Coturnix japonica: one gene and its partners. The protein of the gene in region 1 purifies or fractionates together with the protein of each later gene. This does not show direct contact. Links are inferred from orthologs where the notes say so. Each region holds a gene or a part of one and is shown in the gene's direction. Other genes may lie near its edges.

Region 1 (3,961 bases):
AGCACATAGCCAGGGGCCTCGCACAGGAAGTGGCATCTGGAAGTTTCATTGCTCGGGGTATGTTTCTTCCCTTGAGCGTTAAGTTACTGTTTGTACAGTTACAAGCAGAATCTCAAAGTAGGCTCTAAACTTTGTTTATTCTTGTTGGCTTCTTGACATTTGCAATGAGAGCAGCCCCATTCTGCCTCATGATTTGAGGGGGAGTTGAACCTGTGTTCTTCGTGGCATGTGGGTTTTGTTAGTGCTTGAGAGGCGTTGTACACCTTGTGTGTGTTCAGGAGTATTGTGCCCTAAGAAATGCTCATTGCGGAGCCTGTTGGTTCTTTTAAAATTCCCCCATTATCTCTGAGTGATGTGTGAGACTTTTGAAACACAAACAGAAGCGAGATGCTCTTCATGCTCCTTGTGCAATAATTTGTTCCTTTCACTAGTGATTGAAACAAGAAGTACTTTGTTTTCCATTTGTTTTCTAAGGGAGAGCTTGCTTATGTAGTTTCAGTCCTTCTCCCTCAGCATTGATGCCTGTGTGGGTTGGGAAGTGGTGGTTTTTTGTGTTTCATGGACTTATTTTCAATTAACCTTTGAACTTAGTCTCTTAGTGTATTCCTGCTTCTTTCCTCACTTGTTTACTTTTATAGGTACTGAGTTACTTCAGAAGGAATAATTCACTGACTCCTTAAACAGCCCCTACTCTTTATGAGTGGTTTGCTAGAGATCTAGGAAGTGATTCTTGTACAGTCCATTTGATTTGGGAAGTTGAAAGGCTGTATGTTGGGCCTCTGCTGTCTATCTGCACAAATGCGATGCATGGCTCCCCATGGGTTGCTGCCATCTGTCCTGTGTGTAAAGCTGAGCTTGCAGAGATTGAGAAGACTGCCATCTAAAAGCAGCTTTTTTGCTTCTCAGGTTAGAAGGTGCAATGCAAGGCCCTAGTCATGAGTGGATAGATATTCTTCATTGTCACTGTGAAATTCTGACTCACCAGATGATACAGTGAATAAATTGTATTTCAGTTTCTTAGAATCTATTGAAATAAAGCCCAGACTTGTCTTTTCCTCTCTCAAGAAGCATTTTCTCCATTCAGGCCAAAAAGCAGCCGTGGTATAACAGCACGCTCGCCTCACGACGGAAGCGGCTCACAGCTCACTTTGAGGACCTGGAGCAGTGCTATTTTTCCACAAGGATGACACGTGTCTCAGGTGAGTTCCTCCTGCTTGGTGTTCAGCTTTTGACATCATTTACTTCTCACAGTCCCGCTTCTCAGGAAAGCTTCACTTTTAAGAGACAAGCCTTTGTTTTTCCCTGCCTTGAGAAACACTGCTATACATATGCATATATTTCTTCAAGTCACCTTGTGGAGATTTTTCATGACCAGTCTTTGAGGTTTTTAAGCTTATAAAGTATAATACTATTGTTTCAGAGCACCACATATGTTGCTCTGTAATGCTGTACTATGAAGGTCGTAACCACTAAATAGTTTTTCTCTAATCTTTGTTCTGAAGCTGCGGTGGCTGGGTAGTTTTTCTTCTAGATGTGGAAAAAGCACAGTCATTAAAACACTTATCAAAATACTAAAGAGGTGAAAACACGTTGATAAATGTTACTATATTTAATGTGCGGTACAACACTTGGAGGTTATCCTTTGTTGTCCAGATTGTGAGTCTTGGTTAACAAATGGCTTCAAGTACAGAAGCTGAGTGTGCAGCAGCATCATTATCCCATGGGGCACACCTTAGATTTAAGACTTGTTTTGTAGAATTAGAAGCTGTTTTCACAATTGCCTGGATTGCCTCATTCATAATTGAGTAACAGTGTGGCAGCAGCTAGAGTAATTGTTACATGGTGGATGGATGGTTCTTAATTATATAACGATATTCTCTTTGGAAGCGAACAGGTCAAACGGATGCCTCTTAAGGGAGAGGAAGGTCGCTCTCTGGCTCTCATGGGGAACAAGCAAGCTTTGGGGAAAAGAAGTTTAGTGCAATGGGCTGTGGCAGGCAAGAGATGTGCAGCACCAAGCTGTGAGCAGCAGCTTATACAAAGAGGGAGAGAATGCAGCAAAGAGCAGGTTGAGGGGAGCCTCAGAAGCACAAAAATAATGCAGGCAGGGGCTGCTGCAGCAGAGCATCTTTGCTTATAACCTTGGAAGGCAAGGACTAGCATGCCAGGATACAGATCAGCAAGCAAGCTGGGTCACAAATCCCTGCTCCTCTGTTAATTTGAGGTTTGGCTGCCTAAACATTTTCCAGCTTTTGAAAACTATTACTAATAAACAAAAAAAAATGTGGCCTTTTTATGTTCAAAGACTGCCAAGTGTTGTAGGAGAGCTCACTCTTGGATGGAAGATGCGGGCATGTCTGTTTGGGAGCAGTGGCTGACTTGGGTCCTGTCATGCCCAGCAACACAGTTCTAACAATTTGTGGCATGATGGGCTGCAAGATGATGGGAGAAGGTAGTTGTGTGTGACCAGCCAAACTCCTGTGAGGTGCTTGTAATGTTCTGCAGGCTGCAGTACTTCACAGATTAGCACAGATATTTCCATGTGTGCTATCTTGGTGATACGGAGCTGTGTTTTTGTTAAAATAATACGTTTATTAGCTAAGGATAACAAATTGGACTTTTCCCAGCATTCCCTTGTTGAAGACATTTTTCTTCATAATTGGAACTATAAATATGAATGCGGTGCAATTGTGCATTTTGTTTATGTGTATGTCAGCTGCACCAAAAGTAGAGGATTTGCTACGGCTGTTTTTGCCCTAAATAAGGGATAACCTGTAATGCTTAATTAGATTTTCTTCTCTTCAAAGTCATTCCTGCTTTTTGACACATTTTAAATAGGATTTAATATGGATATAAGGGGTTTATTTGCAAGAGATGCCTGAAAATCTTCTAGTAAGGAGCAGAGCAGTAATACAGCTGGAATTATGAAATGGCCTCGTGCTTTGACGAGGAAAATGTCTTGAGAAATAACATCCCGTTTTGCAGACATAGATGCAGAATAAATTACAGGAGGACTGTGTGCTTGATCTCTAAATGAGGGAAATGGAAGAGCAGCAGCTATTTGCTCCTATTAAAGTGTCAAAGGAGGAATCGGTCTTTGAAAAATACTTACTGATGTTTATGTGCTGCCTCTCGAGTTGTTTTCTTTAGTGGTCAGGTGCTGAGGGTTTAATTTAAAGCAGTGCTTTGTTCATTCTGATCTATCTGACATGAGTAATGTACCCATGGCTGTACCCTAAAACACGCTTATTACTGAACTTTGCTGTTTCTTTATGCAATCAAACATGAAACAGCTTGCAGGGGACACTTCAAAATGCCCTATGGTTACAAAGCAAGATAATTTCTGATGACAAGGAATTACCATGGTGCAGAAATGTTAGAAATAACTATTGCAATTTTTCTCCTTTTTTCACCCCAGTGTTTCCAAAGACTTCCAGTAAGTTGAGTTATATCACTTTCTTACGCTATTGATAAGGGAAGCTTAACTGTGGTGTAAATTAGCGACCTCGGCTGCACAGGCAAATGATGTGTACCTTTCTGCTGCTGCAGTGGGTGCTGTGGTTTAATAAAAGGCAAAGTATTCAGTAATGTGACTTGCATACTGGACTACCTGCAATCCAGGGTGCTGCATGTCAGAGCTGCAAGGAAGGCAAGGGGGAATTGCTGCAGATTCTGGGGGTTGCTACAAAGCCTGAGGGCTCTGCCTGATGTTTGACTGCCGTTGCTTGATCACATTAGGAAAGCTGGCTCGTCCATGAGACATGGCTGTAAGTTAGGAATTCTTCCTTATATAGGAAACTCTAAATTTTGAAATGGTTGAAATAAAATTCCTTTAGTACCGAAGAAAGTTAAGACTCGTGAGGTTTCGGGGAATCATTTTTAGCCCTCTGTACTGTAATTTACTTTTAACGTTTGTAGCGAACTGTTCCATTTTCCACAGAATATTCATCATTATTATTCA
Region 2 (3,961 bases), on another chromosome or scaffold:
GCCCTGGTGGAGCTCAGGCTGCCTGCAGAGCGGCTGATCAAACTCCTGTGGGTCACAATGTCATGGCAGGAGTTGGGTTTGGCAGCACGCAGACAGGTGTTGGCCAACACGTGGCACGTGTCTCCTGTCCTCCCACCTGGCCCTGGGGAGGAGGGCATGTGCCCAGAGCCTTATCTGGGGCAGTTGTTTACATAGGCACAGGGTGATAGGACTGTGCTGGGACAGCGAGTGCTGGGGGTGGGAAGGTGCAGGGTCCCTTTTTTTGGTAGGGAGGAGTGTTGTTCCCTGTGGAATTGTGTCCCCCCACGTGGATGGCTCACAGTGAAAGCCATGAGCAGGCTTTTTCTTGCCTTTTTTTCTTTTAAGACACCCAAATGAAAGCAGGAGGTTTGTTTCTGAGGAAGGAGAGCTTAAACAAAGGAAAGCAAGAGCACGGCTTCTATTTTTGGCTCCTCTCCTGGCGTGACCTTGGGTGCGTCCTGTGCCAGGGGGACAGAGGGGCTGGCAGGGAGCTGGTGCCCAGGTGACGGCTGCGGTGGTGCCAAGGTCCCCAGCTGGTGCGTGTGTTGGAGCGGTGCTTGGGGTAGAGCCACCACAATGCTCCATCCTGCAGGCTTGTAATGTGCCATCCAGACCGGACTCAAAGCCCCAAGCAGCTTCGGGGTGTCCCCTTCCTTGCTGAAGGTGTCAGCTCTTTGGTGGCATCATGGGGCAGGCCTGGCTGGAGATGCGATGCTGACCCCCCTGGGCTCTGTCCATCCTATGGAACCAACACAGCCCACAGTAGGGCCATCAGGGGTGCTCCCCCCACACCCACCCCCCACTCCACGTGGCCGGTGCTCAGGTTGCCCACCCCCCAGAGGCAGCTTGGTTCGGTGCTTCCCCCAGCAGCCGCTGGATGTTATTTTTCTTTCTCCTGGCTCTTCCCAAAGGGTTTTCCGGCCTCACCACCTTGCACAATCGCTTTGCTTTGAATGAATTTGGCGGAAAGGCCGAGCTGGGAGCGCAGCGCGCCCGGCCCTATGCTGTTTGTGTAAGGAATTCAAACGTTGCACAAAGTCCGGGCTTCTTTGCGAGGACAGCTGGTCTCTGTTATGATCTTAAGTATCGTTTCCCTTTTCTTGAATGGCAGCACTAAGCTCTGGGGAAATTTTTCTTTTCTTTTCTGGTTTTTTTTCTTCTTTTTTTTTCCCCCTTCCAACCGCATGAATGGAGCGCTCCAAATTGTTTGTGAATGGAGGGTGGTGCCCCGCTCCGAGACTTTTTTCAATGAATAACCAGACCCCATTGTGCGGCTGGCGGAAAAACAACCCGCTCGAACAACACAGAGACTGTTAGGGAGAAACATGCCCGTGATCGGCAGCTGGAGCCCTTCCAATGTGCGTTCCCCTTCGCTTTCCTGCGGTGTCGCAGCCTCCACACCGGCCCAAAATGCACGCAGGGGAGCAAATCTGGCCCCAGGGTGGCTGGGGGGGCTCCAAGCAGCACAGGGGCTGTGCTTGCTCAGCCCGGGCTTCATGTTTCAGATGCTCCTTTGGGTTTTTCTTGCCCTTGGTACCAGCTGTGCTGGGCTGCAGTGGGGGGGGGAAGAGGGGGGAAGTCAGCAGCTCTTTAAAGGGTTTGACAAATGAGGGGAGCAGCTAATTACCTGGCAAGCAGTGAACAGTTGTCCTGGAGCTATTTGCTCCCCTCTGGTGTAGCTGGGCTGTGTTTAGACTTTGCATGTAGCTAATACTCCACTTCCGATTAGTGTTGGCTCTCCCGCTCAGGCGTGATTTAGGTAAAGATCTCTGACGTGCTTTCCCTTTCCTAGAGCACCCGCTTTTAGAAATTAAAGAAGTTAAGCATATATTACTCGGTTTAAAATGTGTATATATAGTGAACGGGCTTGGAGCTGGGAGGGCTTTGGGTTTAATGGGCTGTTTGCCCCTTGAACTTGTACAGTCATGGCTTCCATCTCGCAGTGGTCCCAGCACTGAGCACAGCACACGTGGTGCTGGCTGCTGCTCACTGCTTCTGGCTGGCTTGTCTGGGGCTGGGTGCAGGCAAACATGTAGTGGCTTCCACAGGTCTGAGTCTGGGTACACTCAAGGAAAGGTCCATGTGTGGCAAAGGGTGGCACTGCTGGGCTCATAGCTGCTTTGTAGGGGATGGTCCAGGCACACCACTCATTGGTGATCACCCACGTCCTTGTCCCATGCCATGCTCTGCCCCCACACCTCATGAGAGGGGAGCAGCTCCCCTCTGTGGGTGATGCCCAGCTGTCCCTGTAGTCCTTGCTGTGGGTTTTTTGTGCTGTTGTGATTCTCTTGTGCTCCTGTGGAGGGGGTCAGCTTCTGGCTTCCTGAAGGGAGCACCCACACAGCTGCTCCTATGCCTATGGCCTATTCCCATGCAGCTCAGAGTCAGTGGTGCCCATGTCTTCCTCCTCCTTCTTGTTGCAGTGGTCCTGCATGCTCCACCTCCAGCCAAGATCAAGCGGGAGCTCCACAGCCCTTCCTCAGAGCTGTCGGCCTGCAGCCATGAGCAGGCTCTCTGTGCCAGCTACGGAGACAAGTGCCTCTACAACTGCTGGTACGTCTCTGCGCGTCCCTTTCTGCCATCCCCTCACTGGAAGCTGGGTGATGGGGAGCATTCCATGTCAGCAGGCAAAGCACTGGTGCCAGAAGGAGTTTGGGGTCCCCTGCCTGGCCAGTCTGAGCCCCTTGCAGGTGGTCACACCACGAGGGCTGTTTCCCGCTGCCAGCGGGTAGCAGTGGCCATGTCACAGGCGCTTGTCTCATGTGTCAGTCTCCTCTGCACCATGCTCTCCCCAGGGGCCCATAGCTGTCTGACTGTGTTAGCGTTGCCTTGCTCTCAACCCCCATCCCCTCTCCCCATTGCAGTGCCTACGACAGGAAGCCCCCCACTGGGTTCAAGCCATTAACACCACCCGCCACGCCGGTGTCCCCCGTGCAGCCGGGCTCATCCCTGCCACCGCCGCCGGCCCCAGGAGTGCAGGCAGCTGCCCATGGCGGCCCAGCGGCTCCACTGCGCAGCACCGCGCCGGCACCACACCTGCTGCAGGAGCAGAGGCAGCAAACCTTTGCCGTGCCGCGGCCGCCCCACCCGCCCATGCACATGCCAAAGATGATGTCTGAAAACCAATACCCCACAGAGCACAGGTAAGGCTCAGTGGCCTCTGGAGGTGGAGGAGCAACTGTTCTGCGTTCGTAGACAGCAGTGCTGTGGGAATGGTGCTCCATATGGGAGCAGGACCTGGGGCTGGATGCAGCGCGCAGGGAAGGTCAGGCTGCATCCCTTCCTGGCACAGCAGCCAGCTCCAGTACAGAGCTCGGTTCTGGGCGACCTTGGAGCTATGCGGGGGACTGGCTGCGACCCATCTGGAAGTGCCATACCAGCACGGGGTTTGGGTTTCACTCAGGAAGGGCAGGGGGACGCGGGTCGGAAATGGAGTAATCCCAGTCCGTCAGCTGGGAGGGATCTGGTTACAAAGCTGAGCGGTGCTCAGCGGCCCCGAAAGGAGCGGGCGCCCGGAGATCGCCTTTCACGGTGCTGCACCGTGCAGGGGTCGGCAGCATCCCTCGGCCCACTCCTGTGTACCCTGCACAGCACTGAGCCTCATGGGAGGGCACCGGCCCCTCGCTCCCAAAATAGTACTGTCCGTACCCGGTTCAAGGTTTAATCCCAGGCAGATTAGTGGCCAACTGGCTCTGTGGCGCAGCAGAGGGGATTTGGCTTTGCGTCAGCACCTGCCCTGTTGCAGTGGCCCTGGGCCCCAAGCAACATTGCCTCACCTGCTTTGAGCTGGCTGTTTTTATCTTACAGCATCGTTGCTTTCCTCCCCCCCCCCCCAGTCCCACACTTATCCAAGGCAAGAACCCTATGGGATGCTTATGCAAGGTGCATCTCCATCCCTTGGCCTGGGGAACCCAGCACCCTGCTGGGTGCAAACCCAGGT
Region 3 (4,408 bases), on another chromosome or scaffold:
GCACAGTCATTAAGTACCATGGTTTTTGCAAGCACCTGGTAACCTGCATGTTGGTTTTGAGTCATGACGGTTGGTTGTTATTTTATCTTCAAGTTATCAAGCAGCTTGAGGTGCAATACCATGAGAAAGAAAGAGCAGCAATTAGTCACCATCCCATGAAATGCTGCAACTCGTTCCTCTCTCTGAATCTCATCTGTTCATCTTAGTCAGATTATGGGGAGCGGGAGGCTTCATTTCTCACCTGAGGTTTTAGTAACAGATTGAAAAAACAATGGCACTACATGGGAATATAATGTGACCATCATCTAGAAAACACACAGAGGCAGAGGGATTGGGTTCATGCAGAAACCAACCATGATCTGGGCCAAAAAACTATGGGATATATTGCTTAATCTACCCCTCTGGCTCTGTTCTTAGAATTCAAATTTTCTCTGAGCACTCCAGATCAGCTGGGGATGCTACAGAGTATTGAAGTTCCATGATATTCATGAACTCTGAGAAGTTTTGTGGCAATGTGGAAAGACGGTAAATGAGGTACCATTTGTGATGCTGTCTGTCTGGACACTCACAACAGCAAAGGCAAACTTAGCCAAATCAATTACTTTTAGTGGCATCAGCAATGGAGGGCAGCCAGCCAGCCCTACAGTTCTTTAAGGAGTTATAAAATGCACTTCATTTTTATAACCTCTGTACAATAAAGTATTGCTCTAAAAAGTGTTTCGGAGCACATGAATTCCTGCTTTCTTTCAGAACATTTTCATTCCTGAGTGCATCCTGAGCGCCCCAGAGACATCCCACACCACTGGGGTAGCACTGAGGCTGATATGGTACAAAGGATATGCAGCTCAGCTCAGCCCACCTGAGGGGCTGGGAAGGGAGCAAGGGCTGAAGAGCAAGGCAACCTCCTCCCTTAAAAAGGCTCTGCCGGGGACGGAGGGGTGTGTGTGGGGGGGGGGGGGGGGGGGTAAGGGCAGGCCCTGGCGGAAGCCCCGCCTACACCTTCCGCTCACACCTCCCTGCGGCCCCTTCCGCCGCGCATGCGCACAGAGCGGAACGGCCTATTCACGCATCCAAAATGGCGGCTGCGATGGATGTGGACACCCCCAGCGGCACCAACAGCGGCGCCGGCAAGAAGCGCTTCGAAGTGAAGAAAGTGAGACCTGCTGGCGTGGCGCGCTCTACCCGGCCGGTCCCAGCGGGAGGAGGGAGGTCGGGAGCGGCCAGGTGGCCGCGAGCGGGTCGGGGCGCTGAGCCGCTTTCCGCGCCCCCTCACGGAGCCGGGCGTTGCTTCCGCACCGGCACCGCCGTATGAGGGGAGGGGGGGGCGGTGCTTGCGGAGTCTATTGGCGTGTGTCGGGGCCAATGGGTGAGACGGGTCTCCGCGCGTGGAACGGAGGTTGGCCAATCAGAGGGCGCGACCACGCGGGGAGGAGGAGGGAGAGAGGCGAGGCGGGGCTAGTTCTGGCTGGGCCCCGCCGCCCAGAGCCGAGGGTAATGCCGGGCTTAGGGGCGAGTCGGTGCGCTGCTGTTGCCTCCTCAGTCCCGGCTGCTTTGGCTCAGTTGTCTTAGTGGCCCTACGTGATGTGAAGGGAGCTTTGCACGCATTTGTGTGGCTGCTTCTTTTTGTATTCTTCACAAATCAACTCGTAGGTGACCAACAAATGCTGTCTTGTCATCCCGGTTTGCTTTGCTTCCCCCAAACAACCATAATATCCCTCTTTGGCCTAACAACCATAATATCCCTCTTTGACCTACCCTCTCCAGTGTGGCTGCGAGCTGAATGGTGGTGAAAGATCCCAAGTTCACTTCAACGAGGCCCGGAGGTGGTTAGGAGCACTTTGTGGGAGCACTTTTGATATTGTATATTTTTTGCAATGAAAATGATTCAGGAGTCGCTGAGGGGCAAAGTTAGAGGTGATTCTGGTTGTTGGCCCCAGCTGCTCTGAGGGATGATTACTGGGAAAACAGCTACAAACAAGAGAAGTTCCAAACTGAGGATGTGGCGTGAGATGCATTCTTGCCTCCAGATTATGAATTGAAATGCAGATGTTTGCATTTGTATGGCAAAAAAAAGAGAGTGGGACTAGTATCAATTGTTTCTGAGACTGGAAGGAGGCACTGAGTGTGAGAGGTATCTGAGAAAGAATTACTCTGGTGCTGTAAGGTGTGTGTCTTTTAATATCCTAACCTTATCATTTCAGAAAGAAAGAGGATCTTGAGGAATAATGAGGATTTCCATGTGTTATATGTTGAATAAAATTTATGTTTCTCTTTTTTCCCCCCTCACTCTAGTGGAATGCAGTAGCTCTGTGGGCGTGGGACATTGTGGTTGATAACTGTGCCATCTGCAGAAACCATATTATGGATCTATGTAAGTAAATGATGGGGAAGCGTGCTTACAGTTTTGACATGTACAAGATTCACAGTTGAAATTTCCACTGCTCAGGGTGCATTTCAGCAAATCTGGTTTTCAGTTCAGAATGAAGTCTTTCGGTAACACTATAAACTCTGTTCTATGTAGTGCTCAAGTTCTGCTTTCTGTGTCTGACTGACCAGAAAAGATTCAGGCCACTGAATTTTTGACTCCTCATTCTGCCAAAGCTACTTTGCCTAAATTAGGGTTATAGTGTGGGGAATTCTGTGGCCAGCTAGAGAATCCGTTTGTTATCTATGAAGAGAATAATCTAATGCCTAAACCAACACCAAGCATTGCTAGTACTAATTCACCTTTTTTTTCCCCCCTGTATGGTCCCAACAGTCCTGTTAACAAATACACTTACTATTTAGGAAAACAAAGTGGTAGTAGGAGTAAGTATAAAAAATTCTACTGTGAAATAGGTATCCATATATAAAGTCACCGGCTTTGGTCTAATTGAGGATTGGCAATAAGAACAGAGCCATTTTTTTTTCCCCTCAAATCTTTGGCAATATATGGTTGGCACCGTAACTGTCCATGTTCTTTCAATGATAAGATACAGAACACCTTTTAACATCCCCCAGATAGGAAGTCACCTGTACTACTAAAATGGGAGGATTGTGGTACCTCAAAAAGCAAGACCTTCAGTACCTGACAAGGGCTAGTCATGATTTCTTTGTGGTCGCTTTGTTTCACTTTCTTCTTAGTAGCCCTTGCAAGTACAGCTGATGGTAACTTACTGTTAGTGAGCCAATGTGATAATATAAAAGAGCAGGGGAAAAGAAAAAGAGGCTGTGCAGTGTACCATGCAGGGCTGAAAGGGGATTAAGCAAGCTGACTTCTTTGCTTTGAGTCAGATGTGTTCTATTTTGAGCCAGCTGCTGCCTGTCCATCGCTCACTTTATTCTTGATCATTAGAAGAGGAATGGTAGCACTAAAGGCAAGCAGGTGAGAGGAGTGGTTGTGACATGTGCTGAGGACCTCTGACATAGTGCTTTACAGTTAAGAATTGAGGTTGGGTGGAATTGAAAGAATATAGACGTGTTAGGAAGAACTTCAAAGGAAGAGAGCACAGGTAACTTAGTTTTTGTTTTGTTTTGCTTTTTGAGTTGCTCAAGCATAACACCTTATTAGTTAGGGCATAATCAATGCTATCAAAAGCCCAAACTGCAAATGATGGACCAAAATTGACAGTATACAGAGTAGAAGCGGTATCTAAATTGGTGTTCTGAGTTCAGCCTTGGCTCTGGATTTACTTACTTCCTTGTTAACGATCATTAATGATGTTAAGCAACATCTTAATTAGATTTTCAAACCGAAGATGTGAAGTGATGGGAAATAGAGAAAAAATTACTAGATTGTGCAGGGAAGAACAACACAAGATTCAGTTTGATAAAGTGCAGGGCAGGAATGTCTCCCTCTCCCACTGATGAGGAGAAACCTTAAAAGGGAAAACATTACAATGGTGATAAGTAACACCAGCCACGCTAATGGAAGATTGTTAACATTATGAAGTCGAGCATCCAAAAGTTAGGATATAACAATGTTAAGGTTTCGTGCAGTCTTGCTAATGCACATACATTACGACTTGGCTGCTAATACTAAGGACAAAGGATTCCCCTGGCCCTCACTATGGCTCATGTTCGGCACATAGAAGGGATGAGTAGATTTTCAGTGGTTTTTGTTCATTTCTGAAAGGGCCCAGAATGTATTTAGATTTTCTTTGTGCAACATCCTTGATTTCTTTCAAGGTTTATTCCCTGCTGCAATGGTTGCAATGGGGCAAGTTTGGGGAATGTTGAGAAACACCATGATCATATAGTGGGTTGTCCTCTAAGTGGAATGTAGTACTGCAAGGTGACTGGTGTGCTTTGAACTGTGTGAAATGTGGCATCAAAATAGTGGACTCTCTCTGATAGAAGATGGAAAGTATCAATGTGATATTCTGGTGTCACAGAGATGGACAAATTGATTAGAATCCAAAGAAAAAAA
Region 4 (3,961 bases), on another chromosome or scaffold:
AAATGACATATGCCAACATTCAAGGATGTATACTATTTGAAATAGTATTTCATTAGGATATGCATCTTCGCTATCTTTTCAAAAGAAATTGTCATCTTTTATATGAGTAAACAGTAAAAGCTTTAATTTTTTTGAGGGGCTTGATATGACTGCATTCTTTATTGATTTTCTTTTGGCTTGCACTTACATGTCACTCCTACCTTCAGTGTCAACAGTGAAGGGTTTCTAATTGACAATTGAGTCTATTTTCGAATCTTTAGACTCACATTTATGTATTACCAAAACTGAAAGCGCTTAAATACTTTGCGGTAACTTTTTTATGTGTGGAGGAAAATTTAAAAAAAAAAACAAAAAACAAAAAAAAAAAAAACCCAGACTGATACCTTCATCAGTCATACTAGAATGGTTTTGGTTACAAAAATCAAATGTGTGTATTAATGGATCTGGTGGACGCTAGAGTACCTGACATAGGAAAGTATGCAAGTTCTTGCTTACTGTCTGCTTCGCATCTATGTTTTTATTGCTTGGAAATAGGAATGATCAAAGTTTATTCGTGTCCTTTTCTTGCTTGGGACACCTTTGTATTTGCAGGACTTGAATGTTATTTTTGAGAGGGGGAAAAAAAAAAGTCAAGGGAGGCTGCTGACATCCTATGTGGGTAGCAAAGCCAGCATAGCATTGTTTTTCTGGGTCAGATCCCTTCCCTCTAGCTGCATTCATTGTTTTACTGTCTCACTTTGTGGTTTGTACACATTCTAAAAAGCGTCTTGACAGGCACTGCCGGCTCTTCGTGCTCTAGTCCAGGTGCTTTTACAATTGCGTGTTTTGTGTATCCCTTGTTAGAATGTCACTGTAGGACTGAATCCTTTAAAAATACATTTCTAGGCTCCAGAGAAGAAAATGCTATGTTGAGCCACTTACTTCCAAAGTGATTTTTTTTCTGTGCTCTTCTCAGTGTAGAGAGTTTCCCCTCCTTAAACTGCTTAATAAAATATCTGTAATAGAAAACCTGTATGTGACGCTTTTTTTTTTTCTGCTTTTTTTTATTCTCTTAATGTGCTTCATGTGTTTGCTGAGAAAATAACTTGACTATCCTTCCTCTTGCTTTACTTATAGTGCCTATGATCAGAAGCCACAAGTGGGAATGAGGCCCTCCAACCCACCAACGCCATCCAGCACTCCTGTGTCACCACTGCACCATGCCTCCCCAAACTCAGCTCAGACTCCTAAACCTGACCGGGTTTTCCCTGCCCATCTCCCTCCATCCCAATCCATTCAAGACAACAGCTTCCCTATGGATCACAGGTAAAACACAGAACACATACAGGACCGGTCCAGAAGGCATTTCAGTGGTGGCTGCATATCTCTCATATAGGACAGCTCTGGCTTTAAGCCAGCAAAGTTCAGAATGTCAGAAATACATGTGCTGTGTAAAAGAGTGGCACTCTGCTTGATGGATTTCAGTAGAAGTTGGTCTTGACACTGACACAGTTTTAATGAGCTGGTTCTACTGCCTTGTGAGGGCAGCTCACTTGACGCTAGTAAGCCCCATGAGGTGATGAAGTCACTGGCGAACAAGATCCTTGCTATAAGTGTCTTGCATCTTCCTAAGAAATGTACCTACAAACAGATAAGTGGCTGTATTACGATGTTACTGCTTGAGAATATTCTTTGGAAGGGTGGATCGTTTTTCCAACTGCTTTTGAAATATAACATTTCAAACAAACTAAGATGCCAACATAAACTGCGCTTAAATAACATTAGTCTGAGTAAAAGCCACAAGAGCTGGAGACTAGAATTAAAGCTTAAACTGTCCTTAAGTCACCCTGTTTTGTTTTGATGTTAGAAATCCCTAGACAACTGACTGTCTTTCTTAGCTCTGTTTTGCAACAAATATGCTCAGTGCATTTCCCTTTTTTTTTGAGACCAGACACTTGTTTGTGGAATTCTGTTCATTCTAACCATTGTTACATGAACCTGTTTGTGTTTGCTGAATTGTGCAGTTTCTCAGAGCATTTTGATTTTCAGCTATATATAGATATGTAAGTTCAGGGACTTGTCTTAGTGCTTACAGTTTAGCCAATTGTTAACAAATTGTTAAACTGTACCTGAAAAGAAAATCACAGATTTGGGGAGTTTGACATGCATGCTTCTGCTCTAATAAGGGCTGTTATCTCCAGGGATTTGCGCAGATCACTTCTGAAGGAGGTTGCTATGGTTTATATTGCTATTTTGTGCTCTACTGGGATAGTATTAAATATCACCCAGGGTTCCTATGAGCATGTCTAGCACTGAAGGAGCACTGAATTGGCCCCTTCAACTTCATTGTATAGTTTTCCCCTCCTTGCACTGTAGTTTAACCAAGTTGACCCCTGGTGAAGCCAGGCTGCAGTTCTGATCGGAGGAGTGTGATGAAATGTATTTCTCTATATACACCCAAGTCTTTGTGTATTGTCAGGAGACTGAAATCCACCAAAGATAAGTGGATTCTGTGTAAGAGAGTATTCTATAGGTTTTAAAAAATCATTATTTTATTTAAGTATTACTTTAGAGCAACTTGTGAAGAGAATGCTGAAACTCTGTCAGTCTGAATTTGAATGTTTATAGAGGTTTGCATAGCCCTTAGTTTATCTTTCTGTAGCTGTAATAATTGTTCTATACAAGCTTTATGGGTTCTTCACACAGTTTTTTTCTTTTTCCTGTGTCTTTGAAGTTCATTTTCTTTGGGAAATTTTGCACTTGTTTTTCCCTTCTGTGATAAAATATCACATTTTAGTGAATGTCAAATAAGCTGGAGTAAAAATCTCCTTTTTTTCAACCTTTACAAAGAAAAGTGCAATTGTAGTGAAAGATATTTTTTCCTTCTTTACATTGAATCTTTTCATTTGCTGTTGTTTGTAACAACTGTACACTTCATATTTTTGTCCAATTCAAATCTTCCTGATGTACAAGATGGTAGCTGTGATGAGTGCATTCAGAAAATGTCATTTAAACAAATGGTCTACCTATGTAAGTTTGTATATAAATCTTTAACTCCAAGCATATTTCTTTGGAATATGCATTGGTGGTATAAGATGGAATCAGTATCTAGAAGATACAGCCCATACATCTTCATACTGGGCATGAATATATGAGGGATAAGTGGTCCTAACAAGTACCAACAGGAATCAAATCCACTTGTGTAAACAAATGACTTGATTCCATACAAAGCTTCCAGTACAACAAGTATTATTAACTTCCTTTGAGGCTTTGTGAGTGAGTCTGTTTCTTATTTTAACTTCAAGTTGCAATTTTCTGATTCACTCCTTGACAGTTCTTAATGATAATTTCTGCTTCTTTTTTTGGCTAATGAAAAAAGGAAAAGAGGGAAATGAATGCAGTGCCAGTCAGCCTAACTGTTTCATAATAGATTTGAGTTTCTAAGTTTATTTTCTGCAGGTGTAGGTGGAATTGCAAAAACCAATGTTGCAGTGTAATATTCTTTGTACTGCAGAATAGAATATTTACAGCAGCATTAAAAAAATAAAAAATAAAAAATAAAAAATACCTCTAGTATTACATTGCAATAGTTTCTATCCCTGTAGCTCCCACAGTATTTGTAATTAAGCTATGATGGTAAATATTTCTCAGACTAAGTTCACTGGAGTATTTTGAGATGTTAGGGTTTCAATTATTTCAGAAACATGTACTACATATAAGATGATTTACAAGGACTGTGTTATTTATGCAGTCAAAACCCTGCTTTCTTCTTCATTTACTCCATTTTGTCCATGAGAATGCCTGCTTTTGCTGGCATGAGCCAAAGTCAGTTCCACTGCAAAGTACAAGAAGCTGAGGAATGACTAGTTCTTCATTTTTAGTGTGGCTTGCAGAGAAAGGGACTAATTTCTTTTTTAAAAAAGAGGAATAATGAGTGGCTAATAGGGCCAGTAAGCACTTTGTTGCAAGAACATTGTTACAC
Region 5 (4,628 bases), on another chromosome or scaffold:
TCTTTTCGACAGATGTTTCCCCTGTATAAAGGGTGGCACAATTGTTTTTGTCAGTGTTATAATTAAAATTGCTATTCAGCCGACACAGAGTTTTTAATGGTTTCCCTTGAGATTACAGCAGATGTTGCCTTATTAGATAAGAACTCTCCCAAAGTGAGAAATGTTACTGATATAATCAAGACTTTTATTTCAATCTCAGTGTGTGCTGTCACTATTTACTTGGTGACATTTGTCCATAAGGAACGAATACCAGCCGCTGTCCTAAAGGGAGAGGGAAAGGCATGTTGAAGGGTTTGGAAGAAGTATTAGAAATCCGAGTGTTGTGGTCTGACCTTTGCTGAGCTTAGATGGAGAGCAGAGGAGGTGGACCTGTCAGCTGCACCTCCACCAGCCAAAGATACTACAGGTTCTTACTGGTATAAATAACCATCATTTAGTCATCCCACAGAGGGTCTATGGAAATCTGGTGAGTAGCAGTTATCCAGCTCCTGTTACAAGAAAAGATACAACGGCAAGATAATTTGAAATGGTAGCTAGTTTAAATAAAGCTATGTGTAACAGTGAGCTCCAAGAAGCTTTGCAAAGGCAGCTTAGGTTCCTGATGCTCACTGAAAAGCTGGAGAAGTGGAAGGTGGAAGTGAGGAGGTGCTATGGCACCCACACTGCGTATTGGTCACTCAGGGATCCATGGGACCCTTCCAGGGCTACCAAGCTTATGTGAGGCCTGAGGAGCTGCTTGGCTGACTGTGGTGTTTGGGTGTTACCTGTCATCGAAAAGTCCCCAAGACATCTACAGAACATGCGACACAACTGCTGAGTAATAGGTGTCCCAGTGTATTACGAAATATACTAGTCATACAGATACTTGGGATTTCAAGGGTTGATTCTCCTAAACTTAGCCCTCCTGAGGACAGGTATTAATTAAGAATACAAAACACTTGCCAAGCACCAGCACCGCTTCCCATAGCAGCTGTGGTGCCCCATCCCTGGAGGCACTCAAGGCCAGGTTGGATGGGGCCCTGGGCAGCCTGAGCTGGTGGGGGGCAGCCATCAGCTGGGTGGGCTTTGAGGTCCCCTCCAACTCAAACCATTCTGTGATGCTGTGATCTCGTGTATAGCGAGGGGAAGAAAACTGCTTTTCTGAACGACCCCAAAGATCCTCTCCCATCCCCATGCTCCCCAGCGAATCCCGCAGGCCCCACTCTGCGCACAGCATTAAATCAAACCCTCCTCCCTTTGCCCGGAGGGAACTTCACTCTTGTGCTGACGGTCTGACAGGCAGACACACACACACAACCAAGGTTCACAATCCCAAACGAAGCCTCGCCAGGCCCAGCGAGGCACCCGCAGGGCCGACTCCAGTCCCGCCCAGCCTCACACCGCCCTATGCCGGCGCCGAGGCAGGCCGCGCTCAGGGGCCGGCCTCCGGGGGGCGGTCCCGCAGCTTCCCCCGCCCCTGCCCCCTGAAAGCGGCCGGCAGGCCGGGTAGCGCGGCACAGCACGGCGCTGTACGGCGGAGCGAGGCACGGCCTTACGGAGCGGCCAGCGGCACGGCCGGCAGCGCCCACGCAGGCGCCCGCCTCCCGCCCGCCCCTTTCTTCCTCCTCCTCCGGGACTCTCCGCTGGGATCAAGCCGGCTCTGCCTCTCTTGTTGTCGGTCGGTTGTGCCACATCGAGGATATTTTGGCTCCCGGAGAGGCAGCGGCGTTTTCTTTTATCCGTTTTTTGGGGGAATTGTGCTTGCGCGGTGCCGCTGCGAAGTGGAAGAGCAGGTGAGCCGGGGTGGCTCACCCCGTGCCGTCCCATCCCACCCTCGGGATGCGGCGGGGACCTGGCGGTATGATGGGGGGAAGGGGCGGCTGCGGAGGGACCCCGAGGGCTGGGCTGTGCCATCGCCGTGCCCAACTACTTTTAGATGGGAGAGAGAGTGTGTGTGTGAGGAGGCGGAGCGGCTCTCTGTCGCCGGGCCCCCAGGAGCGAAATCAGTCTGTCCAGGATTCACGACTTGCCTTGGGATCATCGTGGCGTGCCGGCTGTGGGCGCGCACCTGGTCCTCGCTGAAAAGGAGTCGATCAGAATTCAGGAGTATTAGTTAATAAGTGCCTGATCCTGTTGACCCTGTTCTGGTTCACCCACTCAGCTATGCGGGGGAGGCGAGGAAGGTGTCCTGCCGGCTAAACCAATTACAGCTGGCAGGGAGCAGTCATCGGCGTTGCTGAGGAGCTGGGAGCCAGGCCCAGGCGCACTGTGCCCGTGTGTCTTCTATGAACTCAACTCCAAACCAGCGGGAGCTGCTCAGCCCACTCGGTGTTGCGGTGTCTTCTCAGGTGTTTGGGGCTGGTGGTGCTGAGGGAGGTAGAAAACCGGAGTGAAACAGATGTGCCTTGTGTTGTTGGTAGAGTAGAGCGCTGTGTGCCTCGTGAGAAAGCCGATGGGGAGGCCATAGGATGAACGAGCAGTCTGACATAGGAATACAAGGAGCCGGGTTAATGAGCAACGCTGGGTAATGAGGGCTTCTTGGAGATCTTTTGTCTCAGCACCCAAAGAGCTTCTGAGGAGACAGACAGAAAAATCAGGAAGGGTAGAATCCTTGCCCACTTAATCACAGAGTTGTAGGGCTTGGAAGGGACCTCTGGAATTCCCTACAGCAGGTCACACAGGAGAGTGTGATGGGTCTTGAATATCTCCTGAGGGGGGAGATATAATCAATGGGAAAGTCCCAAAGAGGAGTCTTGTTAAGGCCTGGGTAGCACCTAAAATTGTCAAAAATCCTATCCATCACTGTGAAGATGGGATGTAGGATTGTTGATAGCGTGTGTAGTGCCCTCACGAATGCCTTCTCGTTGTTGAGGCTCGCAGCTTGTTTTCCTATGTACCTGACCAGGTTTCAAAGGCAAGACAAAAGCCATTAAAAATTCCATAGTGCCGTAGTTGTTTGGTTTTTGTTTGCTTAGAGGAATAAAGAAAGCCCAGTTGAATGTAAGGATGAGCAGTTGTTTAAACTAGTGAATTTAATGGGGGAAAAAAAAAAATAAATAATAAAAAAATGAGGATGCTTGCTGAGTGAGACTCGCGCTGTGTGAAATTCTTTGGTGCTCAATGAGATGTGTAATTTAGATCAAATATTTGCACATGCTATTTGAGGTAAAACCCATCATTCCATAGATTGCACTTTTGGGTAACATTAACGAAGGATAAGTGGACTGTTCCTTTTATATTGGGCTGATTTATGTCGTTTCAGTGATAAGAGCCATACATGTAAGAGCTGTGAAGTTGAAACAGGCCTCTCAGGTTGAGGACTCTTGACTTTTAACTGATTGCAAACACAGGAGGATGAAAGGGATCTGTGGCTGTTTGGTATTTTTCTTCTGCTAGATGGACAGATGTTGAATGTGTTGTCATCTTAGCAGCTCCACTTGTTTTGTGGTTTTGGTTTGTTTGTTGTGTTTTTGGTGTTTGTTTTTAAGCTCTAATTTGCCGTCTTTTTCCACGTTTAAGATTGTATGTTGACCATGTTTAAGTTTGTATGTTGATTTTTTTTGTGTGTATTGAAATGGCTTAAGAGAAATTGCTTGTATTTAGTAATCACAGTTTTGTGGGAATAATAATGCCCTCGGTTACTTTGTTTAAATAAGAGTGAGTGTTTTCAGACAGTTTCTGTGGAACAAAACAACGCAGCACAATGCAGTGACAAAGTAGAAGAAAAACTGTTGAGACAACTTGCCACAGTCTAGCCTGATAAGGTATCATTTACCGACACCCGAATTACAGCATCGTGATAAACTTGAACAGTGGCAGTAAAATCTGCTTTATTCATTGAGTGTGATCTCTCATAGGATAAGGATCTTATCGCTGTATTCCTTGAATCATATATAAGAGAACATGTTATACAGCCCTCACACAACCCTGCTTCTGGTGGCATTGGGAACTTGATAGCCTTGATTCGAGCAGCATGAATGTGCTGTTGGTGGTCCCAGCTCTGAGAAGGGTGTTTTATTGCATGAACCCTTTTTGGCTTGTATGCATTTAGTAGGCTCAAGTTTAAGTGTATTAACCCAGTGCTCATAAAATAGGTGAAATAATGCGTGTCAGAGATGCTGTATCTAGTGAAGGAAGCAGGTTGTTTGTATTTGGAGCTGGTTTTCAGGGGTAATTCGTGTGAGGAGTGAGCAAGGCAAATGCCAGTCTGAAGGTGCCACAGTAAGCAATGCTGCTTCTCTTCATTACTTTAAAGGCAAAGTCCAAAGTGAATTGTGCAGTGTAAGCATAAATATAGTAAGTGAAGGTAGACAACACTTCATGTTTAAAATGATGGGTGAAAGGTACAAAATAACTGCAAGCAATCGGTACTTGATGGGCAAAGCACTTCTGAAGGCTTTCGTGACCACATAATGGGATGAGGTACTGAAAGCACTGGCTTAGGGGACCAGAAGTTAATCATCCTCTTATGCACTTGTTTCACAAAACTGTGTTGATTCTTGGGAGAAGCCTTCTGGGAAAAGCTGTGTAAGCAAGATGAGAATTTCACTGTATATGATTGGTATGCAAACAGCATATGGGGGGGGGGGGATGAAACAGAAACAGCTTTGTCTTTGCCACACTCAGAGCTGTTCTGCAGTCTGTACTAA
Region 6 (4,592 bases), on another chromosome or scaffold:
ACCAAATAAATCAGCATTGTATTTTCTCAAAAATGGAGGGGATGAGAAGAACGCTGTTGTGCTTTATCCTTGTATGTAGGATACAAGTATTTCTCATAGTGAGGAGCCCAAAACTGAACACAGCACTCGAGATGCGGCCTCACCAGAGGAAAATAGACACATAAAGAAACTCTTACCTGTTGCAGGTACTGGTTTATGGTGATGTGGGCCATTGGAACACAAGGGGCAGGAGGCCGAAATAAATCACGTTCTGCAAAAGAACCGGAGTCTTAGAGAAGGGTGGTAGCCCAGAGGCACCTCGTCCTCCTCGCTGTGAGGAAGGCCGGGCCGGGGCTGCCCCCGTTGTCTCCGTGCTCCTGCTCGCACCTCCCCCACCGCCCCCAACCCAAACACTGACTAACCTCCCCGCCATGGCGCGGCGCACAGCGGCACTTCCGGCACTCGCCGTGTACTTCCCGTAGTCACCGGAGCCGTTTGGGGGCGTGGTCTATTTCGAGGCAGCCAATGGAAAAGAGCGGTGGGCGGGGCCAGAGCGCGCGTTAGGTATAAAAGCACGTGCATCGGTGTGTGTGGTACGTCAGTGGGCGGAGCGGCGGGAGGAGGGAGCAGAGGGACTAGCGTGCTGGTCGTACCGGGGTCCGGTGTCAGCTTGTGCTTACCACAGAATGACCCGGGTTGGAAGGGACCTCAAGGATCATGTAGTTCCAACCCCCCTGCCTGGCAGGGCCACCAAACATACACATTTACTAGATCAGGTTGCCCAGGGCCCCGTCCAACCTGGTCTTGAACACCTCCAAGGACGGGGCATCCACAACCTCCCTGGGCAGCCTGTTCCAGGGCCTAACCACTCTCCTAGTGAAGAACTTCCCCCTAACATCCAACCTAAATCTTCCCTCTTTCAACTTAAAACCATTTCCCCGTGTCCCGCTATTGTCAGCCCTTTCGAAGAGTTTACTCCCCTCCTGGGAGTAAGTTCCCTTCAGGTATTGAAAGGCTGTAATGAGGTCACCCCGCAACCTTCTCTTCTCCAGGCTGAACAAACCCAACTCCCTCAGCCTGTCCTCATAGGGGAGGTGCTCCAGCCCCTGATCATTTTTGTGGCCCTCCTCTGGACCCTTTCCAAAATCTCCATGTCTTTTTTGTACTGAGGGCTCCACACCTGGACACAGTACTCCAGATGGGGCCTCACAAGAGCCGAGTAGAGAGGGACGATCACCTCCCTATCCCTGCTGACCACCCCTCTCTTGATGGAGCCCAGGATCCCATTTGCTTTCCGGGCTGCCAGAGCGCACTGCTGGCTCATGTTGAGTTTTTCATCCATCAGGACCCCCAGGTCTTTCTCTGCCGAGCAAGACCTTATGGGAGCGGACCGTTGTGCTCCGGGGGCCGCAGTGCCTGCCTTGTGAAGAAGGGACGGCAGCTCCTTGGCAATCTGTTCCAAAAAGCTGAATAAAGTTCCCCACGGGTTGTCTGTAAGAGGCTCGCACCGAGAGTCCGCCGTAGCCGTCCGTCCCGGGAGCCATCTTGCGAGCGGGGACGCTCGGTGTGAAGCTGGCGGGAAGGGCTGGGCTGCCGCCCCGAGGTGGGGGAGGAAGGGAGGGAGGGAAGAAGGGCGGGCGGAGGAGGAGGAGGAGGAGGAGGAGGAGGAGGAGAGCGGAGGCGGGGACCGGGCGGTCCAGCCCAGCGCAGCGCCTTGCCCCGGCCGGACACGGCGCCCGGGGCGGAGATGGCGGACGAAGCCCAGAAGAAGCCGCACTTGTCGGCCCTGGTGGGGCACACCAACGGGCTCACCAAGCCCGCCTCGCTGGCCGCAGCCGCCACGCGTGGGGGAGGCGGCGGGGGCGGTTCGGCCGGTGCTGCCGCCGCCTCCTCCAAGAAACTCGTCATCAAGAACTTCAGAGGTGGGTGCGGGGCCGAGCGGCGGCAGGTGCCGGGCCCGGCCTCTCCGCACCTTTGTTTACCGCGGGGGCCGCTCCGCCTTACAGGGACGCGGAGAACCTGCCGCCGCTCCCTAACCGCATCCCGGGGTCTCGCGTGGGGCCGCGGGGTTGGGGTGGCCCCGCATTAGGATGGAGGAGGAGGAGGCCACGGGCCTGGACGCGCTCGGGCGCTGCCGTCTCGCGTGGGGTCGCGACCTGCCCCGTGGCCGTGCCCCGTGAGCGCCCCTGGGCTGAGCGGAGGAAGATGGCTGCGGGGAGCCCGAGCCTCGGGCCGCCTTCAGCCGCCTCCGTGTTCCCCCGCAGAAAGGCCCAAGCTGCCCGATAACTACACGCAGGACACCTGGCACAAACTTCACGAGGCGGTGGCAGCCATTCAGAGCAGCACTTCTATTAAGTACAACCTCGAGGAGCTCTACCAGGTAAGACCCGTACGGTGATGTTTTCTTTCGGTGTAATGTGGAAAATGGAGACTCGCAGGGCTTCAGATCAAGCAGAGATGTATTTTTGACTCGTTAAAGGCCAGTTATTATCTCCAGAACGCTCTGTGTTTCCAGACAGTTCACAGTGTTGTGCCTCAGCTTCTCGCTGCTCCTAGGAGAGTTCTCAAGGTCTGGGCCCATGAAGAAGCAATTTGTGTTGGAAGGTATTGAGAGCTGCACTTGGGCATCCAGCCACCCCAACACTCTGCCTGCTCCAGATCCTGAAATTAGGGTCTTGCTCTGTCTGGGCTTTGCAGTGTCTGTGTTTTACAATGGCTTTTTTGGTTCATGCTTTGGTGTTTGAGAGTAGCCAGCGTTAAAAGTATTTGTTACGATGCTGAGACTTCAGTGTCAGTGCTCTTTGGAGAATGAAGGCAAGAATCGCACTGCTCGTGTTGTTATAAAACATCACTGATGCTGTAAGTTGTGCCACGCGGCTGAAGTTAACAAGCAGGGTGAGTCTCAGAGCTGAAGTGACTTCTCTGTGTCATTAGATGGAGTGTAATGTGTGGCATCAGAACGGCTCGTTGTGTGAAGGCATATTGACCTAATATAACATACTGCCTTCAAGCTGGACTGATATATATGTGTCTGGTAATACTTATAGGTTTGCAGAATCTGATTTACATAATACATTTGATGGTTTTAAATAGAGCGTTTGAGAAATCCTGCATTTTCATGCCCAGCTAGAAAAACACAGATGCTTTGAATGTTACCTAACTTGTTTTCAGAGGCTCAGAAAAGAGATTATAGTAATATGGGTATGAAATTGCCGGGGCACGGACTTGAGCTTTGGCAGTAGAGGAGGAGGGAGATCTCAGATAAGCTGTAAAGAGAGAACTGTGCTTTTTGCTTATTCTGTTTGTAAAAATGTGCGTGTTGTAAGGACAGCCCAGCAGTCAGGAAGTCATTGGTGCAAATCAGCAAGATTCCTGTACGGTGGGTGGTGGCTGTGAACATGCCCATACATACATACATACATATTCCTTCTGCCAAAGGAATAAGAGGAAGTTCAGCATCTTTTGGAAAGCTGACCTGTATGTACAGGTCGCTGTAACTCTCGGTTGGTGAGCACAGAGCCATCCATGGGGAAAATATCAGTGTGTGTACTGCTTCTCTATGGCAGTGCTCCTTTATGTGCATCTCTATCTGGCACCATGACAGGAGAAGAGAGGCTGCTGGGGCTCAGTGCAGCAGGCAGTGGTACCCCAGCCTGCCTTGGAACTTCTTGATTGATGTATTTAATTTGGCACGGTGGCAGAGTTAAAAACAAGGCCTGGTGGGAAGCCCAAAGCATAGTCTTTCCCAAGCGGCAGTGGCCGCATGGGTTAAAGCACAAAGGTGCTTGGCAGAGGCAGTGAGCAATAGGAGGGTGGCAGCCAATTTTTGCTACTAAAATAGAAGTGATGTCTGGGATTGGTGGTAGATTGCCTGGATCTGGGTGGAAGTGGCTGATATTTGATGGGCTACAGAAAGTGGGGCAGTGCAAAGAACTGCCGAGTGAGGAGCGAGTGATAAAAATAATGGGAAAAGAGAATTCCCTTTGCAACAAGATCCTAAATAGCTTGAAATAGGGCAGCAGCTGCCCTTCTTGAGGGCACGGAATAGAACATTGTTGCAGTAAAGGGGGAAGAAAGTAAATGCTTTGAATCTGGACCAGACTTTTGTGTGGGTGGGTAGGAAAGGCTGTGTCTTAGAAAGCATAACCAAATATCTGACCAACAGTTGTGTGATCACTGTTTGTTTCAGAGGTCACCTCACGTAACCTGTTCTAAGACTGAAGTTAAAAACCAGCATAAACAACAAAGTAATCATGTAATGCCTGCTTGTTTCCATCTTGTGTGTTTTGGAAGATAAGCTCTTCAGGATATTAGAACTGATAGAGGAAACAGTACAAGCAGCAATAACTAGCTTACTAAACAGAGGACTCGGCTCAAAACAAGCCATTAAAGTGGTTATTTGAAACTTATACATGGCTTGTGTAGGTGAAGAGCCTACAGTGCTGTCTTTCTCATGTCATAATAGAAGAGATAATTATTATTACAGCTTTTTCCCCAGTCTCATTGTGTGCAAGATAAATAAAGATCAAATCAGGGTTTCTTTCAGAGGCAGCAAAAAATCTGAACAAAGCAAAACATGCAGAAGAAGGAAATTACTGGTTTTCCCTTCTGCC
Region 7 (4,401 bases), on another chromosome or scaffold:
ATGCTCTTTGGTATTTAGTTTTATCCTATTAAGGTGGATCCCAATTAATTACACAGGGGGGGGGGGAGGGAAACAAAGAGAAGCGCTGAAGCCATTCATTTTCAGCTTGTCATCGTGTCTCCTGTTGTGGAAAACCACAGGGAAATGGGCACGGACCCCCAGGCCCATAGAGTGGGTCCTTTCCTCATGATCCCATAGGGGATGCAAGGTGCCTCCTTTCCACACACATATATGGGGGCACAAGGTGAGTGGTGGGGTTGTATAGGGGTTATAAAGGTCCCCACTGACCTGGCACCTAACTGCCACCCCCCATTGGGGTGATGTCCCAAGAGCTTTGTGGGGATAGCAATGTCACTCAGTGCTTTATGGGACTGAGGCCCTTCACCCAGGGCTGGCTGCAGCACAGTGACCAGTGTGGGTGAGCACGTCCCCAGCAGGTTTATGGGCTCAGTTATGCAGGTTTATGGGTGTGTAGACTTATAGGAGCGCAGGAGGGATGTAGGCTGATAGGGCCACAGGGATGTAGTTCTGAAGGGGTGGAGGATGGGTGCAGGTTTATGGGGGTGTGTGATTATGGGTTTCAGGATAGGTGTAGGGCTGTAGTGATGCCTGTTTATGGGTGTGCAGGGCTATAGAGATGCATGCTATAGGGATGCAGCATTTGTGCAGGTTTTTAAGGGTGAGGGGCTACAGGGCTAAAGCAGTGCAGGGTTATAGGGGTGCAGGATGGATGCACATTTATGGGGGTGAGGGTTTATTGCTTGCAAGCTGCAAGATTATAGGGGTTTAGGATGGGTGAAGGGCTATAGGGGTGTGGATTTATATGTGTGAAGGGCTATAGGGGTGTGGATTTATATAGGTTCAGGGCTATAGGGGTGCAGGGCTATAGGGTTGCAGGTCTGTAGGGTTGCAGGTCTGTAGGGTTGCAGGGCTGTAGGGTTGCAGGGCTGTAGGGTTGCAGGCTATAGGGTTGCAGGGCTATAGGGGTGCAGGGCTATAGGGGTGCAGGGCTATAGGGGTGCAGGGCTATAGGGTTGTAGGCTATAGGGCTGCAGGGCTGTAGGGCTGTAGGGCTGTAGGGCTGTAGGGCTGTAGGGCTGTAGGGCTATAGGGTTGTAGGCTATAGGGTTGCAGGGCTGTAGGGTTGCAGGTCTATAGGGGTGCAGGGCTATAGGGTTGTAGGCTATAGGGGTGCAGGGCTATAGCGTTGCAGGGCACGTTTCAGTCCGTTCCCGCTGTACGCGGACGCCCCGCAGCGCTCCTCCCTCCGCCAGGGGGCGCTCTCTCTCTCTCTCTCTCGCTCTCTCTGCGGACACTCTGGTACGCACCTCCTCGCTGCTCCACCGACCGGAAGCGGAAGCGGGCGTTGAGGGTGACGCCTTCTCGCCGCCGTCGCGGTGCGTCGTTGTGTGGTGGCGGCAAGATGGCGGCGGCCATACAGTAAGAGGCGGCGGCGGCGGCGGGTCCAGCGCCGGGCTCCGTTGGTGAGCGCGGCCTGCACCCTTCGTGGGCTCCGCCACACCGTGGCTTCCAGGCCCGGGGGGCTCCGAGCTCCTCTGTGCCCCGAGGGCCCGGACCTGAGCCCCAGTTCCCTGCGGGGCAGAGGCAGAGCGGCCCCCGGTCCGCAGGCTCCAGTCAGGCCGCTCGTTGATCCTCCTGTTCCCGGTGACCCACAGGCCGCCCCGTTTCCCCCCGGGCTCCCTCTGTCCCCGCTGTCCCGGCTGCTCTCACCCCCATCCCGGTGCTGCCGTGTCCCTTCATTCCGGTGGTACCCACGTATGTGTGCTGCCTTCCTCGGCTCCATCCTTCCCTGTGCCCTGCAGGCTGTTCTGCAGGTCCCATCTCCCTGCTGGGTTCTCTCTGGGTACCTCCTGCTGTCCCCGTTATGTCCCACTGAACCCCCTCTCCCAGTCCGTCTCCCAAAGGCTTTTTCAGCTGCCCCCACCTTTATGGGATTGTGAGTTTGCTCGCAGCTCCATCTCTTGTTATCAGCCTTGGTGAGGTCCCACGGTGAGTGTGTGCACCATCTGCAGCAGGGTGAAGATGAAGTAATGCTCTGACCATGGACCATGATGCCCCCACAATCAAGCCTCGCCGCATTCAGAACCAGAACGTCATCCACCGCCTGGAGCGCCGTCGGATCAGCTCTGGCAAGGCTGGCACCCACTGGCACCAGGTCCGTGTCTTCCACCAGAACGTCTTCCCCAACTTCACCGTGGTCAATGTGGAGAAGCCTCCCTGCTTCTTGCGCAAGTTCTCCCCTGATGGGCGCTACTTCATCGCCTTCTCCTCCGACCAGACCTCCCTGGAGATCTATGAGTATCAGGGCTGCCAGGCGGCTGAGGACCTCCTGCAAGGCTACGAGGGGGAGATCCTGGCTAATGGCAATGACCAAAGATCTGTCAACATCCGAGGGCGGCTCTTTGAGCGCTTCTTCGTCCTGCTCCATATCACCAATGTGGCCTCTAATGGGGAGCACCTGAACCGCGAGTGCAGCTTGTTCACTGACGACTGTCGGTACGTCATCGTTGGCTCTGCTGCTTACCTGCCTGAGGAGCCTCACCCTCCCTTCTTTGAGGTCTATCGCAACAGTGAGTCGGTGACCCCCAACCCTCGCTCCCCTCTGGAAGATTATTCCTTGCATATCATTGACCTCCACACGGGCAGACTCTGTGACACGAGGACTTTCAAGTGCGACAAAGTCATCCTCTCTCATAACCAGGGGCTGTACCTGTATAAGAACATCTTGGCCATTCTCTCTGTGCAGCAGCAGACTATTCACGTCTTTCAGGTGACGCCCGAGGGGACTTTCATCGATGTGCGGACAATCGGCCGCTTCTGCTATGAGGATGATCTCCTGACACTGTCTGCAGTGTATCCCGAGGTGCAGAGGGACACTCAGACGGGGATGGCAAACCCCTACAAAGAGCCCTTCATAAACTCTTTGAAGCACAGGCTGCTGGTGTACCTGTGGAGAAGGGCAGAGCAGGACGGCAGCGCAATAGCAAAGAGGAGGTTCTTCCAATACTTTGATCAACTGAGGCAGCTCCGCATGTGGAAGATGCAGCTTTTGGATGAGAACCACCTGTTTATCAAATACACTAGTGAAGATGTAGTGACGCTGCGGGTAACAGATCCTTCCCAGGTATTGCCTGCCACCTGGGGCTCCCTGTTGCTTGGGGGCAAATGCTCTCAAGCAGGTTCAGTGCTGTGAGCGGCATTTTGTAGCTGAGCCTGTGAATGTTCACTAGATGTGCTGTTTAGGATCCCATTACTTCATTCTTGCGTGAACATTTGACACCCTTGGTATTGAATAACTTCAGTATCTTTTGCTCTCACGATTTCACCACATTCTTTGCAACTGAAAATGAGGCAGAAAAGATCTTAGGTGTTATCGAGTCCCCTTTCTCCAGGGATTGTTCCCTGTGCTCAGAAGTGCTTCACAGTGCCCTTTCCCTCCTAAATCCCCAGCTGATTTTTTTAGCTGCTATTTCATGTAATACACTCGCATTGTAGAGGTAGTCTCTCCCTTTTCTTCTGCATCTTCGAGCATGTTTTTCAAATATAATATCTCCATTTTTCACCAGTAGAATTACCTTTTCTATGCTGCCTACGTACTTACTCTTTCAGGCTTCTGTCAGAGCTAGTATTTATGATCTCTCCAAATTGAAGTAGCAGCTCTTAAATCCAGCTAATGTGCCAATTGCTTTTCCTTTCTGTTTAGTACTAAAGAAGTCAAATTAGAGTAAATGTAGCTCAGATGGTGCTGGGTCCCTCCAGGCTTTTCACCATCCCACGTGTTGATCATCTCTTTTCACCACTGTTACTGTTACTCAGTCTTTGAGCTGTGTGAAGCTGAGCAAGGTATTTTTCACATTAACCTACTTTAGTCCTTTGCTCTGTGCCGTTTGGTTGTTTGTTATGGAAGTATTTGGCAAAAACAATTAATAAATCTCTACCTCTGAAGTTTGTCAGGTTCTTCCCTAGGTGCTTGTTTATCCTTCCCATCCCATCCTTCCCATCTTACTGGTTCCACTACTTAGACCCTAAAATAAATGGGCAGTAATTCTTGGTGACCATGATTTCCCTTTTATGTTTGTTTTGGGGTAACTATTTTAGGAGGGAATAAATGAGGCTAAAACTGTTTTTACCCACTGGTGTAAAATGGGAGTGGCTGTCTCAGGAGCGTGAAAGCTTTGCAGTGTGTTGCTTGTATTTAGAGTGGTGTTCCTGACCCAAGCCTCAGGCCACCCCAGTGTGAATGTTAGTGGGAGTGTCAGCTCTGCTCCCTGCTGCGGTTTTGTGCCTGCTTTGCTCCAACCTGTTCTTGATTTGCTTCACCTGAAGGTTACTTTTAGCTACAAATTGTGGCTTGTTTGTGCCGTTCCTCAGGTGATGTAT

What was found.
Region 2: the proteins of COP1 (region 1) and ETV5 purify together in Homo sapiens (affinity purification with mass spectrometry; 6 studies listed by BioGRID and IntAct, counting the BioPlex papers as one, with this or other methods). This does not show direct contact. The link is inferred for Coturnix japonica from reciprocal best matches to the Homo sapiens genes COP1 and ETV5.
Region 3: the proteins of COP1 (region 1) and RBX1 purify together in Homo sapiens (affinity purification with western blotting; 3 studies listed by BioGRID, with this or other methods). This does not show direct contact. The link is inferred for Coturnix japonica from reciprocal best matches to the Homo sapiens genes COP1 and RBX1.
Region 4: the proteins of COP1 (region 1) and ETV1 purify together in Homo sapiens (affinity purification with mass spectrometry; 4 studies listed by BioGRID and IntAct, counting the BioPlex papers as one, with this or other methods). This does not show direct contact. The link is inferred for Coturnix japonica from reciprocal best matches to the Homo sapiens genes COP1 and ETV1.
Region 5: the proteins of COP1 (region 1) and ETS2 purify together in Homo sapiens (affinity purification with western blotting; 3 studies listed by BioGRID and IntAct, with this or other methods). This does not show direct contact. The link is inferred for Coturnix japonica from reciprocal best matches to the Homo sapiens genes COP1 and ETS2.
Region 6: the proteins of COP1 (region 1) and CUL4A purify together in Homo sapiens (affinity purification with western blotting; 9 studies listed by BioGRID and IntAct, with this or other methods). This does not show direct contact. The link is inferred for Coturnix japonica from reciprocal best matches to the Homo sapiens genes COP1 and CUL4A.
Region 7: the proteins of COP1 (region 1) and DET1 purify together in Homo sapiens (affinity purification with western blotting; 11 studies listed by BioGRID and IntAct, counting the BioPlex papers as one, with this or other methods). This does not show direct contact. The link is inferred for Coturnix japonica from reciprocal best matches to the Homo sapiens genes COP1 and DET1.

Annotation. Positions count from the first base shown.
Region 1 is NC_029523.1:4,928,687-4,932,647, reverse strand, and holds part of COP1 (E3 ubiquitin-protein ligase COP1), read left to right. Parts: intron 1-1,084; coding exon 1,085-1,199; intron 1,200-3,961. UniProt on the Homo sapiens protein: E3 ubiquitin-protein ligase that mediates ubiquitination and subsequent proteasomal degradation of target proteins.
Region 2 is NC_029524.1:3,945,230-3,949,190, reverse strand, and holds part of ETV5 (ETS translocation variant 5), read left to right. Parts: intron 1-2,444; coding exon 2,445-2,574; intron 2,575-2,885; coding exon 2,886-3,164; intron 3,165-3,961. UniProt on the Homo sapiens protein: Binds to DNA sequences containing the consensus nucleotide core sequence 5'-GGAA.-3'.
Region 3 is NC_029516.1:45,482,337-45,486,744, reverse strand, and holds the start of RBX1 (E3 ubiquitin-protein ligase RBX1), read left to right. Parts: upstream 1-1,347; 5' UTR 1,348-1,362; coding exon 1,363-1,491; intron 1,492-2,292; coding exon 2,293-2,371; intron 2,372-4,408. UniProt on the Homo sapiens protein: E3 ubiquitin ligase component of multiple cullin-RING-based E3 ubiquitin-protein ligase (CRLs) complexes which mediate the ubiquitination and subsequent proteasomal degradation of target proteins, including proteins involved in cell cycle progression, signal transduction, transcription and transcription-coupled nucleotide excision repair.
Region 4 is NC_029517.1:24,985,417-24,989,377, reverse strand, and holds part of ETV1 (ETS translocation variant 1), read left to right. Parts: intron 1-1,116; coding exon 1,117-1,305; intron 1,306-3,961. UniProt on the Homo sapiens protein: Transcriptional activator that binds to DNA sequences containing the consensus pentanucleotide 5'-CGGA[AT]-3'. Required for olfactory dopaminergic neuron differentiation; may directly activate expression of tyrosine hydroxylase (TH).
Region 5 is NC_029516.1:97,056,194-97,060,821, forward strand, and holds the start of ETS2 (protein C-ets-2), read left to right. Parts: upstream 1-1,483; 5' UTR 1,484-1,772; intron 1,773-4,628. UniProt on the Homo sapiens protein: Transcription factor activating transcription. Binds specifically the DNA GGAA/T core motif (Ets-binding site or EBS) in gene promoters and stimulates transcription.
Region 6 is NC_029516.1:123,899,988-123,904,579, reverse strand, and holds the start of CUL4A (cullin-4A), read left to right. Parts: upstream 1-1,671; 5' UTR 1,672-1,726; coding exon 1,727-1,901; intron 1,902-2,243; coding exon 2,244-2,359; intron 2,360-4,592. Other genes in the region: PCID2 (PCI domain-containing protein 2), read right to left, coding at 177-212. UniProt on the Homo sapiens protein: Core component of multiple cullin-RING-based E3 ubiquitin-protein ligase complexes which mediate the ubiquitination of target proteins. As a scaffold protein may contribute to catalysis through positioning of the substrate and the ubiquitin-conjugating enzyme.
Region 7 is NC_029525.1:11,805,511-11,809,911, forward strand, and holds the start of DET1 (DET1 homolog), read left to right. Parts: upstream 1-1,333; 5' UTR 1,334-1,440; exon of another isoform or gene 1,441-2,033; 5' UTR 2,034-2,062; coding exon 2,063-3,145; intron 3,146-4,401. UniProt on the Homo sapiens protein: Component of the E3 ubiquitin ligase DCX DET1-COP1 complex, which is required for ubiquitination and subsequent degradation of target proteins. The complex is involved in JUN ubiquitination and degradation.